Linked DNA regions of Alligator mississippiensis. The protein of the gene in region 1 purifies or fractionates together with the protein of each later gene. This does not show direct contact. Links are inferred from orthologs where the notes say so. Each region holds a gene or a part of one and is shown on either strand. Other genes may lie near its edges.

Region 1 (7,035 bases):
TAACCTACAACTCAAAAGCCAGTACCCAAGCAGGACAGTCCTGTAAGAAATCTTATCAAAAAACCTAACACACCACCAGTCATGGCATTCAGTGAAGAACCCGGGCTTCAATTAATATAGCATCAATATCCCACAATCAGTACTACACAAGGCCCCTTCTTTTGCAGCTACATTTTATTGTTAGATCTTAACAAAAGGTCTGGCGCTTCAAGCATCAACCTCTCTTGAAAGTAGCAGCCCCTAAGCTAGCGATCATGAGGCCTTGGCTCAGGAAACAGCTTGTGGTATTAAACAACAAGTTAACTCACTATTTGGGGAAACATTGAAAAGACAGCATCAAACATCTAAACAATTCCAAGTACATGGTCAACTCATCACTGTTCACATTTCCTACTTATCTTTCAGTAGCTGGTTTGACATAAGTGAAATTATCATTTATGGTTAATCATTTCTTCCCAGCACTGGGCAGCAATTCATGCCCATTCTGTTAGATCCATCAGCCGCCTTCAACACCAGTAACTCAACTTCAGAGTCCCAGAGGAAACCCCTTCATGAGTTCACCATCTCTTAGGACCACTCAAAAAGAAGGTTAAGAGGTTTTACTCTTCCTCCATAAAGGTCATCTCATATATGCAGTCCCATTCAATACTTAAAAAGATTTGGAAAGCTAGGCATATAAGTTTGCAACATTAGTGTTAAAAAGATAATACTCAAGATCTCGTTTTGTTAAGTGCAAATGCTATAGTCTCAGAGTTGTCTCTCCACGTTGTCAAAGAGGGAGATACCCGTGAGTGATATGACTTTGACTCAACATAGATAAGATGAAAGCTACTGATGGGTAGGGTGAAGAATATACGGAACAGACAACAGCTGCAAAAGCACTCTCTGGTAGATGTGTAAAACTGAACTTTAACAATGCTGTACAACTTCTAACTGTCAGAAGCCATTAGGAAACAGCTACCCAATCTAATTTCCCCATTTAAAGCTGCTATAAACATTCTTCCCACATGTGGGTCTCACCATAGTGATCCCTGCTATTTTAATTTCAGGTTGGTTTATTGAAGCACGTTATACTTGAGGATACCCCTGAAGGCCACTTTTTAAAGTTTTTGCTACATGGAATACAACCGTTTGTTGCTACTGGGACAAGACACTGAGAATACCTACTTGATGCAAGGCAGTGCTGTGCAGATATGTGACCTAGCACAGATGCAGGGTCTATCAGACTGGGTACAGCGTCATGTAAACAAGGTGACACTACTTCTGGTTCCAGAACTAGCTTGTGTACAGTGCTGCCTCATGTTGTACAGACGCCTTTGCTATTAGCCAGTATAGAACACAGAGTTGGCTGTAAATGCTATCTCCTTGCTTTTAACCAGAAGATTGGACTGGAGCCAATCTAAAAATGCCCCACAACTCTGCTATTTTAGGGCCTATGTATACAATATTAGCCAGTTAAGATGGCTAAAAACACCAGGGACAGCCATTTAAAACTAAACAAATGGCACTAACCACTTGCCAAATCCCATTAGTTTCAATACTAAAGACACTACTTTAACATGCCAACAAATTCAGGTAAGAACAGCTCTTTGAACCTCTTCAAGACCCCTTCCTTACCTTAACCCCTTACGCCTGAAACTGGCAGGACCTAGTCAAGCTCACAACTGCTGAAAGTGCCCAGCTGACAGCCACTGACAAGGGCTGGTAGCATTAACCTAGTGCAGGGGTTGTCAGGGTACTTGAGAAGGCCCTAGAGGGTATGGGCGGGCAGGCAGGGAGGGATGGAGCACCACCACCATGCACCGTCCCTCGCTGCCGCCGCCTGCCCAACTGGATGCAGGGGGTGGGGGAAGCTCACACATGGCGGGTGCTGCTGCTCTGCGTTCGGCTGCACACCCCCAGCTCCGTGTCCAGCTGCCAGGGGTCTGCTGATCCAAAGAGGTTGAAAACTCCTGACCTAGTGGTTCTCAACCTTTTTAGACTCCAGGCACCCATGGGCAGACTCGAGGCCTCCCTTGGAAAACATGACGTCTTCGTTTTCGCTTTTTTTTTTTTTCCTACCACAGAAAAGCAACAGAGCAGGTTTCCTGCTGCAAAGCCCTCAGAAAGAGAACAACTCCTGGCTTTCCATGTGAAACCTCGCGATTCACGCCTGTGTCCCCCACAGGGCACCCTACAAAGGGTCTTGGTTGAGAATCGCCCAACAGATGATTTCCTCGCCGCCGCGCACGCTACATGCTGTCCCATGACGATGGTGAAGTGCAGCTGCCCAGCAGAGAAGAGCAAAGTACTCGGGTTGGCAGCAAAGAAGCAGGCAAGGGCCCAGGCAAGAGTCAGCGGCTCCGGACCATGACCTCAGGACCCCACGGCGACAACTGCCACCCCTGAAAGCCGCGGGGGCCAGGCCTGACACGGGCCGGGCCCCGCGGCGCTGCCTCAAAGCGACTCGGCGACAGAACAAGGGGGCCGAGCCGGTCGGGGCCGCGGCCTCGGTGCCTCCCCCGGAGCCCGGCCGCACTCACCACACGAAATCGTTGCTCTTGTCCTCATAGGAGTTGAGGAGCCCGTTGCAGAGCGGAGTCAGCAGCGGCCTCTTCCTGCTGCCGCCGCCGCCCGAGGAGGAACCGCCGGCGCCGCCGCCAGGCCGGGCCGCCCCAGCCAGCCGCGAGGCCGCCGCCGCCGCGCCGGAGCCCGAGGCCGCCGCCACCAGCACAGGCCGCGCGGGGCCGGCCGTGCCGCCCGACGACGAGCCCGGCGCCGCGGCCGCCGCCGAGGACGAGGAGGAGGCCACCGTGACGGAGCTGGCGGCGCCCGCGGCGGCGCCGCCCGGCCCGCCCGGCGGGTGCGGCGGCTGCTGCCGGCTGCCCGACATGCCGAGGCCGGGCTGCGCAGCGAGCGCGGGCCTCAGCGCATCCTGCGCGCGCGCGGCGGAACAATAAAGTTTGTTCAAAAAAAAAAAACAACCCCCCCCCGCGGGGCAGGGGGAGCGGCCGCCGGGAGCGCCGCGAGCTGCCGCAAGCAAAACTTTATTGGCACACGGAGCACCGCGAACACACAGCCACTACTAGTACTCCTGCTCCCCCTCCCCCCGAGGGACAGACCGAACGTCTTGTTGAATCTTTATTGGCTCCCTGCAAGGCAGAGCGCTCCGTTGCACTGCGCATGCCCGCCTCAACAGCTGTCGGAGTTTCGGCCGCGGTAGCTGGGAGGGGGTTGTACATGCGCGCTGAGCGTGGGAGTTGGGGGGCGTGAAGCGGGCGGGGCGGGGCCGGGCGTCGGATGCAAGCAGCAGCTGTCCCGCAGGGCGCTGGATCCGGTGCTGCTGGTGTACCATCGTTATATTTGTACCGTAATGTCAACCCTTGTGTAATGTACAACCAATAACAGTGCTCAAAACATAGGATCATTTTGGAGGCAGCTATTTGGTGCAGCACATGCAAAACCCAAGTCACCCTCAGGCAGGGGTGACGCATAGGGCGTGCACAGACGTGGCAGTGCACCCCCTGCACGTGGCGGTGCACCCCCTGCAAAAAGGCGCCGCCAACACTGTCAGCAGCGTCTGTGGGCGGTTGCCGCTCGCCACACTGTCGCCGGTTGTCTGCGGGTGGTCCACGACCGCCCCCGGCTGCCGCTGCCGGCGGTGCCTGCAGGTGGTTACCGACTCCTGGTTGGCGCTCGCCAGCCCCCACCCTCGCCCACAGTGCCGGTAGCATCTGCAGGAGCTCCTCGCCACTGCCGGCACAACTGTGCCCCCAGCCGCCAGGGGCACGCGCCGTTCATGCGCTCAGAGAGCCTTAACTGAATGTTGGGTTTGCTGTCAGCACTTTCTTATGCCTGCTTGCCTCCAAATAAAGAAATGCTTCAGTTTTGACAACCCAGATCTCACTTACTCACCAGTGAGTTACAGAAAGCAATATTAAGTAAAGAAGAAGACTGAGTTACATGCTTATTTGCATACTTGTCCAGTGTTTAATAGTTTCTCAGCAAATATAAGAAGACTTCCTCAAGAACTGCACCATCAAACCCTTGCTATACTTAAGATATATCAATGACATCTTCATCATTTGGACTGAAAACCTACAATCTCTGAATGAGTTCCATCAGAAATTCAACAATCACCATCCCTCCATCCGACTTTCTCTACAATACTTCAGCACCAACATCTCCTTTTTAGACAGACCACGTTACACAAGAAACCCACAGACCAACATACATATCTGCACAGAACCAGCAATCACCCTAAACACATCAAAAAAGCTGTGATACACAGCCAAGCCCTCAGATACCACCAAAGTTGCACTGAAGAGAACACCCGGGATCGCCACCTCACCAATCTCAAAAAGGCTTTCACCCAACAAGGACACTCCTCCAGAGAGATAGATCACACATTTGAAAGAGCCACCCAGATACCACATGAAGAACTGCTGCAGTACAGAAGAAAACCCCCCAAAAGTCGCACACCGCTGGTTATGACGTATCACCCATCCCTTGAACCTGTACGGAAAATCCTCAAACAATTGCAACCCATACTAAAAAGAGACCTTATTCTTAAAAAGATCTTCCCAGAGCCACCCATCCTAGCCTTCCAACAAGCACTGAACCTCGCCAACCTCATCACCAGAAGCAAACTTCCTCAAGCCCAGAACACACTAAAAAGATCCAAACTGTGCCATGACAAGAAATGCAAAACCTGCCAACACATCTCCACCACCCCCACTATTACTACACCCCACAACAGAGCCATCAGCATTCCTGGATCTTACAGCTGCACCTCTAGAAATGTAATATATCTCATCTAATGCACCAAATGCCCTGATGGAAAATACATAGGAGAGACCAAACAACAACTGCGTACCAGAATGAATGCACACCAGAAATCTATCAAAGACAGAAATACCCAATTACCTGTGGGGGCACATTTCTCACAAGAACACCACTCTCTCTCCAGTCTCTCAGTCCTGATCCTCAAGGGAAACTTACACAACACTTCCCAGAGATGAGCCTATGAACTCCACTTCATCAACCTCCTGGATACTAAAAATCATGGACTAAATATAGACATCGGATTTATGACACATTATAGCCTGCCTGACATCTGACTCCCCAGGTATCTCTCCACTATTCATTCCCCCTGCTCTCTCTTCCCCCCCCCCCCCCCCGCCCCTCTAGCCTGTCTCTCACCCATTGACTCCTCAATCTACATTTTCACTGACTACCTGTCTTGTATGCATACCAGCCCAGCCTCTGGCTTCTTTACTTTCCATTCCATCCAGGAAGAGCACACACCAACTGCTAAAACTTCCTTAGCCTGATGAAGGGTTTTTGAACCCAAAAGCTTGCTTAATAATTGTTTTCCAACTATTTCAGTTGGTGTAATAAAAGATATCAGATTCACCCAAAGAACCTTGTCAGCAAATATGATAATTTTGAGCTTCCAATGTAATTTCATATTTAGGACTGGCAACAATGGCTGAACCCCCGCTCCCCCCAACCACCCCATGGCCCTCGGACAAGTAGCAGCCCTTGCAGTCCCCCAGGGTCTGGCCCCATCTCCAGGCTGGGTGATCCCCTGAGAGAAGTCACACACACCCTGAGTTTCATTGGGACTGAGCTCCCTGCCCCCACAGCAGCTTGCATTGATTGACTGCCTGGTTCCCTGTATCAGGCCATGCCTTGACTTCCCCACCTGCAAAACATGCAATGGCACTGGCTGCTTCCCTGGGGCATTGTATGTGTTCCCAGTTAGCAAAGCACCTTGCTTTTCAGCTGTGCCAGGTGCCCTATGCTTATTTGCTCACTGTTAGGACAGAGGAAACAGCTACTCCTCTGTAAATCACCCCCTAAATCTAAATCTGCCCTGGCCAATGATTAAGTCCCAAGGGTGTTACCAAAATGCTGTCAGGCTACAATATCAAAATCCAGCCTGAGTGTTCAAAAATGGCTAGTCAGGTCCCTCCAGAGCAAGGATGCTCACTTAAAAATCAGGATTTCTTCCTACTGACACATTCTGGGCCGCCCATTAAGCCTTTGGGTGCTTAGGGTTCATACTTTAAGGTTTTTCCTGCAGCCACCAGGATTCAAAAGAAAGTTGCTATTCATGATGCCACAAGCTGGAATAAAATCAAATATTGTGAGATTCCCCATTAAAGGCAAGGCTTGGCAATACTGAATATATGTTAACAATTTCTGAGCCCTTTATACAAGTTAATATATTTAACAAACAACATGAGAGAGGGAGGAATGAACATTGCTAGCTCTAGGGAGTCATATTCCTGAGTCAGACCAACCAAAATTCATGCAACTGGTTTAAAAGTCCTGGCAAACATTATTTTTGGTCCTTCTTGTGATTTTTGAGCCTTTTGGGGGAAACAGCAAACCCCTAAGCTAGAAGCATTGATTCACTTTTAAATACAAAGTAAAGGGCACCTCTTATCCTGGCTTTAAGAGGGGTCCTCTTACTTTCTCTCAAAATCTTGAAATGGGTACTGTCATTTTTAACCTATTTTTTCCCCCGTATCACTCTGCTGTTTCCCTCTCTGTCCCACCAGCCCCTCTCTCTCTTCTGCTGCCCTGTTCTCCCTGGTATCTTTTCTTCCCCTCAGTTATATTTGATACCATGTCTACATCTGCCTCCCCTCCCCCATTTTCCATCTCTGTCCCTCTAGTCTCCTACATCTTATATTCTCCCTCTCTATGCCCTTACTTCCTTACCCTTTGTAGTCTTCCTCCTGAAGCCCAAATTGCTGTGCATCCTTCCTCAGTCTTCCTCCTGCCCACGCATACCTCTGATGACCCTTATTCACTCACCCACACAAACTCTCTTTGACCAACATCCAAAAAAATTAAGCAAAGTTTTCAGGATGGGCACTCAAAAATCAAGGCACACTAAATCAGTGCACACATCTCAAATTGTGTCAGTAGGTATCTATCTTGTAAAGAGAAACTGAAGAAAGTGGGGGGGGGTTCACTAGTTCTCTACAAATGGAGCTGGCTGCAAAGGAAAATTGAATTAATTTGCTTCACTCGGTTTCTTTT
Region 2 (6,986 bases), on another chromosome or scaffold:
GTCCCGGCGCCCGGCTCGCCCCCCAGATTGCCTCCCCCCCACCCAAGAGACAAGCGTGCAGAGATTAGCACGCTTCGAGGAGAAGGGGGCTGGTGCCTCTCTCGGGATTATAGATCCCGTCTCAGCCAAACCTGGCACGTTATTTGGGTTGATTGTCATTGCTCGGTGATCTCTCCCCAAGGCTGGGGGAGTTTCCCCCTCTCTGAAAAAATGCAGAAAGCTGAATCTCACATTTTAAAGCCTTGTTAGTGGGGGTCGGGGCGAACTGCCTGCCAAAAAGAAGGAATGGACTGGTTACTGATTTGACTCGTGAAATATCAGCCTGGAAAGACTTTTAGGACCTGGCAGTACTTAAAAAAAAAAAACCCAAAAACCACCAACCCCCCCCCCCCAAACGCCAGAGCTCAGCTCATCTGTGTAATACCCCCAGGACATGACCCCCCTTCCTTCATACCTATTAATGGTTGTAAATGAACAAAGCCTTTTACCAGAACAACACCAGTGTTGGCCTAAAACCTTCCTTGGGGTGTTTCTTGGGGGAGATCTTCCTCGGGAACTATATTGGGGCGGGGGGAGCAATTTTCCTCCAGGGTTTGCTGCTTGTACTGCAATAACGCGCCTTGTGCCATTAGGGGTTCACCAGGGAGTGGGTTACAGTGAGTCTGGCAAAACTTCCCTGGGCTAACTTTAGCCTCTGTGCAGTTAGCTGGTTCCAGAATTAGAAAGGGGGGGGGGGGGGGAAATCTCTCTGTACATTTTCGTCTTCAGATTTTTTTTTAACGTAATGAAATTAAAACTTTTGGAGCTCACAGTTGACGTTTTGCAGAAAATTGAGTTATCAAGGCAGTAATTATTTCACAGGGAGATAAAACTCTCATAGCCCTAACTGTCAAATAGGGCCCTTTTCAGATTTTAATTACAAAATAAAATTAGTCTGCTCTTCCTCGGAAGGGTTTGTGAGTGGCTAAACAGAGCTTTCCCCAATACTGGTGGTCGTCAAACTCTGCTAATTAGCAATGCTGAGAAATTCCAGTTAACAAGGACATTCTGTAAGTCTCTGCAGGTTCCCCGCCGCTCGCCTTCATTTCCATAAGAAGATTAAGAGTGGAGGGGAACACACTCAAATGCAGATGCAGAAAAGAAGCGTTTTTAACAAGCATCATAATAGTAAGATGCTTGGCTAGTTCTCACCTAATTACTGCAAGTTAAACCTCTATTTGCAGCTAAGGACAAAAAAAAAAAAAAATCGAGGCTGCAATCTTCCATCTCCACCAGGCTGCTTAATAGTTTGCTTTAGATTTGTTACTAGCAAGGTCAGTGCGAAAAAATTATGTAGATATCCCTGATGTTATAGTCCCCGATAGGCTGCATCTTCAGGGCTTTTAGAAGAAATTGGTGGGTGCAGCCCGGGTCCGCACAAGAAATAAATAAAAATCCAAGTCGTTAACATCCATTTTCTCGTTAATAAGCTCATCACCCCCGAATAAGCGCGAACCCGCCTCGGACTCCCGCGCTGAGCGCGTTTGCGGACTATTTGTTTAATGTGAGCACTTTTCATTTCCATAAATTATACCAAAGGCAACGATTTTTAAAATCCATTCAGATTAAACCATGCCTCTCTAGGCCTCCCTTTTAAAAATCTCGATCTTCTTCAATAGACCGTTGTCGTTATTGTTACTAATACTGAAGCTGGAGGAAGGCTCTCATTGTTTTTTTACATTATTTAAACGAGTAGCCAGGAACCCGGTTTATGGAGCCAGAAACGTGCACGTAGGAAACGGAGAAGAACAAATTGTGAAAGAGCTATCACCTTTATCTTATTTTTCTATAGCGCATTATTATGTATATATGCCAGAGGCAGTTTATTGCATTGATAAGTAAAACACGGTTAATTAAAATAAAGCTGTAAATACTCATGATAACACAATTGTTAGGTATTTCCATCGCTTATTTATATGATAAATGCAATTAACAAAGAGCCAAGCCAGCCACTTTAACCTCTTCAATGTGTTATTAGAGAGTTCAGGCACAAATATATGCATCTAGTTACGTGTAAAATCTTGCCTTGCCTTTGCTGCAGCCAAGGCTCACACACAGACACACACACACTCCCAACTGATTCTGCCTCTGTAACTACAGTAGAGAACAAAAATAAGACTTGCTTGTCTAACACCAACCATCAGTTATCAATTTATTACGATAAACAAACACCACCACCCCCTTCCCCCCTCCCCCAATTTAATTATCCATAAGGTTTTTTGTGTGTGTGTTTTTTGGAATAATGTTATCAAGTGCAGCCCCAGGCGTAAACAATACCAAAGTAAATAGTTGCGTGCCCTCAGTAGCGTCTGGACAATCAGAATTCGTTTCTAGCTTGAATCTCATAATTTGTACCTATTTTCCTCTGCTTTAACCTATCACTTATCTACGGGCTATATGTACATTTTCGAATTAAACGCATTAAATCTGATAGGATTTATTTACATAATCCATAAAAAGATGCATCCGTGCTGTTGGGGTTTGTTTTTTTTTTATTACTTAGATTACATATAATTATTTCCACCCCCCCCTTTCCTTTTATTATTTTTAAACATTTCATTTGAAAAGTGAGAGCGAGCCTTGCCTGGGAGCCGAGTCTGCCAGTAGGGGGCGCACCAGCCCCATCCCTGAAGCCCCCGCGCTCGGAAAGTCCAGGGCAGCCTCCAAGTTATTTCTCACCTCCCTTTGTGTGTGTGTGTGTGTGTGTGTGTGTGTGTGTGTGTGTTTCTAAATCGTTCTTTCGGCACTGGATTTAATCTGATGCAGACCTGAAATCCAGCAGATTGTACAGTCCGCGCACAGCACCAAATACAGTCAGTCTCGGGAGGTTTTCAGTCGCGCCAAACTTTCCTGGGGAGGCCGCGGGGCAGGCTCCGAGCCCGGGGCGCAGGGCGGAGCGCGCCCCGGTGCGGCGTGCCCGTCCAGACAGCTCGCCACGTTTTCAGCCCCAGGAAGAGGGGGGCGAAGGGAGCCCCTGCCCGTGGGAGCACTTCATAAAACAGAAATGGCGTGAGGCTTCCCCCCCCCCCTTTCTTTGTAGTCAAGTGCATTTTAGCAACAAAGATCCCAACAAGAGAGTGGAAGTAAACTTAGCCGGGCCTTTGTTTGGCCCCGTGTAGCGACAACAAGAGAAACAAAACTACCTATTTGTAACGGACGTGCTGCCATCTCTCCCCGCCATTGAGCTCCCACCTATTGAAGTCTTTACGTCGGGACAATGGGGCCGAGTCTAAAATTACCCTCCCGAGCCCAGGGCGGCTTCCCACTCCCGCGTCCTGCCCCTGCCGCGCGGCCCGCGGCCCGGGGAGCAGCACGCGGGGCGCGGGGCTGGGGCCAGGCGGGGGTCGCCGCAGCTGGGGGGCGGCCCCCTCCCCCGGGGCTGCAAGCAGACGCCCGGGGCATGGCGGGGGAGCTCGGCCCCTTCTTTCTGGGAGGCGCAGGGGGCTTCCAGGCTGTGAATGGAGCCGGGCTAGGGGGAGGGGAGGGCCTGCTCCCCTGCACCTGCCCTGCACAGGCCCCTCCGCGAGAGCCGGCGGTGGGGGGAGAGGCAATGGCAGGCAGGGGAGGCCCGCACCCAACACACGCAACTTTGCGGAGGCCTCGCGCTCCCCCGCGGCTTTCCCCCGCACCAAGTTGTGTGTGTGTGTGTGTGTGTGCGCGCGCGCGTGTTTTTAATGTAGCAACAATGCTGTTTACCCACTTCCTCCAAAAGGCGTGTGTGACCTGTTGCTGGAAGAGGCGCGACAAAGCCTCGCTAGTGGCTGCCTGGCTCGGCCGAGGGCCCGCCCCCCGTCCCCCCCCCCGGGCCGGCCCGGCGGCGCCCGCAGCCCCCGCCCCGTTTCATGCAAAACCAGGGGTAGAGGCTCGTCCTCAGTGGAGGAGCCGGCGCGCGCTGATTGGCCGGGCCCAGCGCATTTATTCCCTGACAAGCCCCCATCACATGGATGGTTGTCTATTAACTTGTTCAAAAAAGTATCAGGAGTTGTCAAGGCAGAGAGAGAGAAAGAGAGGGAGAGGGAGAGGGAGTGCGCGTGTTTGCAAAAGGGGGCAAAGGAGTTTGCTGGCTCTTTAAGACCGAGGTGGAGGGAAAGCGCTGGAGAGAGGCAGAGAAAAGGGGCAAAAAGGAGAAAGAAGAAGTTTGGGTTTTTGGTTTGGTTTTTTTTTTGTTTTGTTTTGGTTTTTTGGTTGTGGTTTTTTTTTTTTTTTTTTTTGCAAAGCCAGGCTGCAGCAGCCGCCACCGCCACCGGCCTGATCCCTCCGACAGGCAAGAGGAAGCCCCTGATCCTGATCCAAGCGCGGGGTGTTTCGGGGAGCCCCCTCCCCCCCTTGCACACCCCTCCCTAGCCGGAGAGAAAGTCCAGCTCGGGACGTTTGCTTCTCGCTTCTCCGCGGAAGCCTCGGGCCAGGCAGAAGCCGCTTGAATGTACAACATGATGGAAACCGAGCTCAAGCCGCCCGCCCCCCAGCCCGCCTCGGGAGGCGGCACGGGCAACTCCAACTCGGCCGCTCCCAACCAGAAGAACAGCCCGGACCGGGTCAAGCGCCCCATGAACGCCTTCATGGTCTGGTCCCGGGGCCAGCGGCGGAAAATGGCCCAGGAGAACCCCAAGATGCACAACTCGGAGATCAGCAAGCGGCTCGGGGCCGAGTGGAAACTTTTATCCGAGGCGGAGAAGAGACCCTTCATCGATGAAGCCAAGCGGCTCCGCGCTCTGCACATGAAGGAGCACCCGGATTATAAATACCGACCCCGGCGGAAAACCAAGACCCTGATGAAGAAGGATAAGTACACGTTGCCAGGGGGCTTGCTGGCGCCGGGCACCAATAGCATGACCACCGGGGTCGGGGTTGGGGCCACCTTGGGAGCTGGGGTGAACCAGAGGATGGACAGTTATGCTCACATGAACGGCTGGACCAACGGAGGGTATGGGATGATGCAAGATCAGCTCGGCTACCCCCAGCACCCGGGCTTGAACGCGCACAACGCGGCTCAGATGCAGCCCATGCACCGCTACGACGTGAGCGCCCTGCAGTACAACTCCATGACCAGCTCGCAGACCTATATGAACGGATCGCCCACCTACAGCATGTCTTACTCCCAGCAAGGGACCCCGGGCATGGCCCTGGGCTCCATGGGCTCTGTGGTCAAGACGGAATCCAGCTCCAGCCCCCCAGTAGTTACTTCCTCTTCCCATTCCAGGGCTCCTTGCCAAGCTGGGGACCTTCGGGACATGATCAGCATGTATCTACCAGGTGCTGAAGTACCAGAACCAGCTGCCCCAAGCAGACTTCATATGTCCCAACACTACCAGAGTGCACCTGTTCCTGGCACAGCCATTAATGGCACACTTCCTCTATCACATATGTAAGACAAAGGGGCAGGGGGGGAAGGAGAGCTGAACTCCAACCAACAAACAAAAAACTTTTATTAGAGATTCTGGACTTTTTTTTTTTTTTGGACTATTTTTGTACAGAGAAAACTGGGGAGGGCAGAAAAAACAAAACAAAACAAACAAACAAAAACTAACCCCGCCGAGGACCTTGTATAGATCTGAAGGGGAAGAAACTACACAAAACTTTTTAAAAGTTCTAGTGAAACGGTAGGAACTTTGCAGAAAGTTTGCAAAAGTCTTTACCAATAATATTTAGAGCTAGACTCAAAAAGCGACGAGGAAAAAAAATGTTTTAATATTTGCAGGCGACTTTTGTACAGTATTTATCAAAATAAACATGGCAATCAGAATGTCCATTGTTAATATGGGGGGGAAACACTTGAGAATTTGCCAATTATTTTTTAAAAACAAAGTAGAGTTTACTTGGAGCCGCGCAGCTGAATTATAGCAGCTGCCAAAGGAGTGGAGATTTATTTTACAGAATTTGGACATTTTAATTGTTTTAGAAATTGTACAAAAGGCAAAAAAATGTAGGATAAGTACTTGCAAACCAGTGAATTGGTTTTCTATAAAAGGGCAAACGTTTAGATTGTACTAAATTTTTTTTACTTGTTAAAAAGCAAAAATTGCCACTGCAGGTTCACATACCGTTTGTTAATTTATAATAGCCTTTTTGTTTCCAGAATTCATCCTGTTCAGAGAGAGAGAGAGAGACAGAGAAACCACACACACAAGCTGAAATGACTGTGTTTGAAATATTTTCTTATGGTTTGTAATATTTCTGTAAATTTATTGTGATGCTATTTTAAGTTCCTTTTTTTTTTCCTCTCATTTTCCGTAGTTGTATTTTAAAGATTCGGCTCTGTATTATTTGAAATCAGTCTGCCGACAGTCCATGTATATATTTGAACTAATACCATCCTTATAACAGGTACATATTCAACTTAAGTTTTTACTCCATTATGCACAGTTTGAGATAAATAAATTTTTGACATATGGACACTGAAGTTACGCCTGAGTCTTGCATTTCTTTTTTGTAATACGAGCTGTTTTGATTTTTTTTTTAAAGAAAAAATAATAATAATAATGCAGTTCAAGGTCTGACCGTAGTCAGCTGAGTGTGGTCAGTTCATGACAACACGGTGTAAGTAAGTACCGCGCGAAAAGCTCGGCTCTGGCGCTGGAGAAGAGCAGGGCTCGGAGTAGGTGGAAACTGCAGTCCTCCTTGCGGGCCTGAGAAGCGCGCGGTGTAAGTGCCAGCCCGGGAGACTTGTGCCGAGGCGAAGGGAGGTGTGTGGACTTGGTGCTGAGACCACTTGTTGCCGCTGGGCTGAGCTGGGACCTTGCACTTGGTGTCAAGTGAAACGGGCGCGCGTGGCAGGAGCGGAGCGAGTGCGAAGGCAACAAGTAAGCGGCGTGGCTCGCGGGCTGGCTGGGGGCACGCGGGCCGGGCCGCAGCGGAGCGTTGTGCCGTCGCGCCGGGCCGGGCGGGGCCGGGCCGGGGCCAGAGCATCCCCGCCGGCCGCGCGGAGGGTGCTGGCGGGGCGGAGGCGC

What was found. Proteins that work in one complex are often made in the same cells at the same time.
Region 2: the proteins of COP1 (region 1) and SOX2 purify together in Homo sapiens (affinity purification with western blotting; 3 studies listed by BioGRID). This does not show direct contact. The link is inferred for Alligator mississippiensis from reciprocal best matches to the Homo sapiens genes COP1 and SOX2.

Annotation. Positions count from the first base shown.
Region 1 is NC_081828.1:49,407,976-49,415,010, forward strand, and holds the start of COP1 (E3 ubiquitin-protein ligase COP1), read right to left. Parts: upstream 3,040-7,035; 5' UTR 2,873-3,039; coding exon 2,523-2,872; intron 1-2,522. UniProt on the Homo sapiens protein: E3 ubiquitin-protein ligase that mediates ubiquitination and subsequent proteasomal degradation of target proteins.
Region 2 is NC_081830.1:81,639,470-81,646,455, forward strand, and holds SOX2 (transcription factor SOX-2), read left to right. Parts: upstream 1-3,966; 5' UTR 3,967-4,460; coding exon 4,461-5,408; 3' UTR 5,409-6,439; downstream 6,440-6,986. UniProt on the Homo sapiens protein: Transcription factor that forms a trimeric complex with OCT4 on DNA and controls the expression of a number of genes involved in embryonic development such as YES1, FGF4, UTF1 and ZFP206. Binds to the proximal enhancer region of NANOG.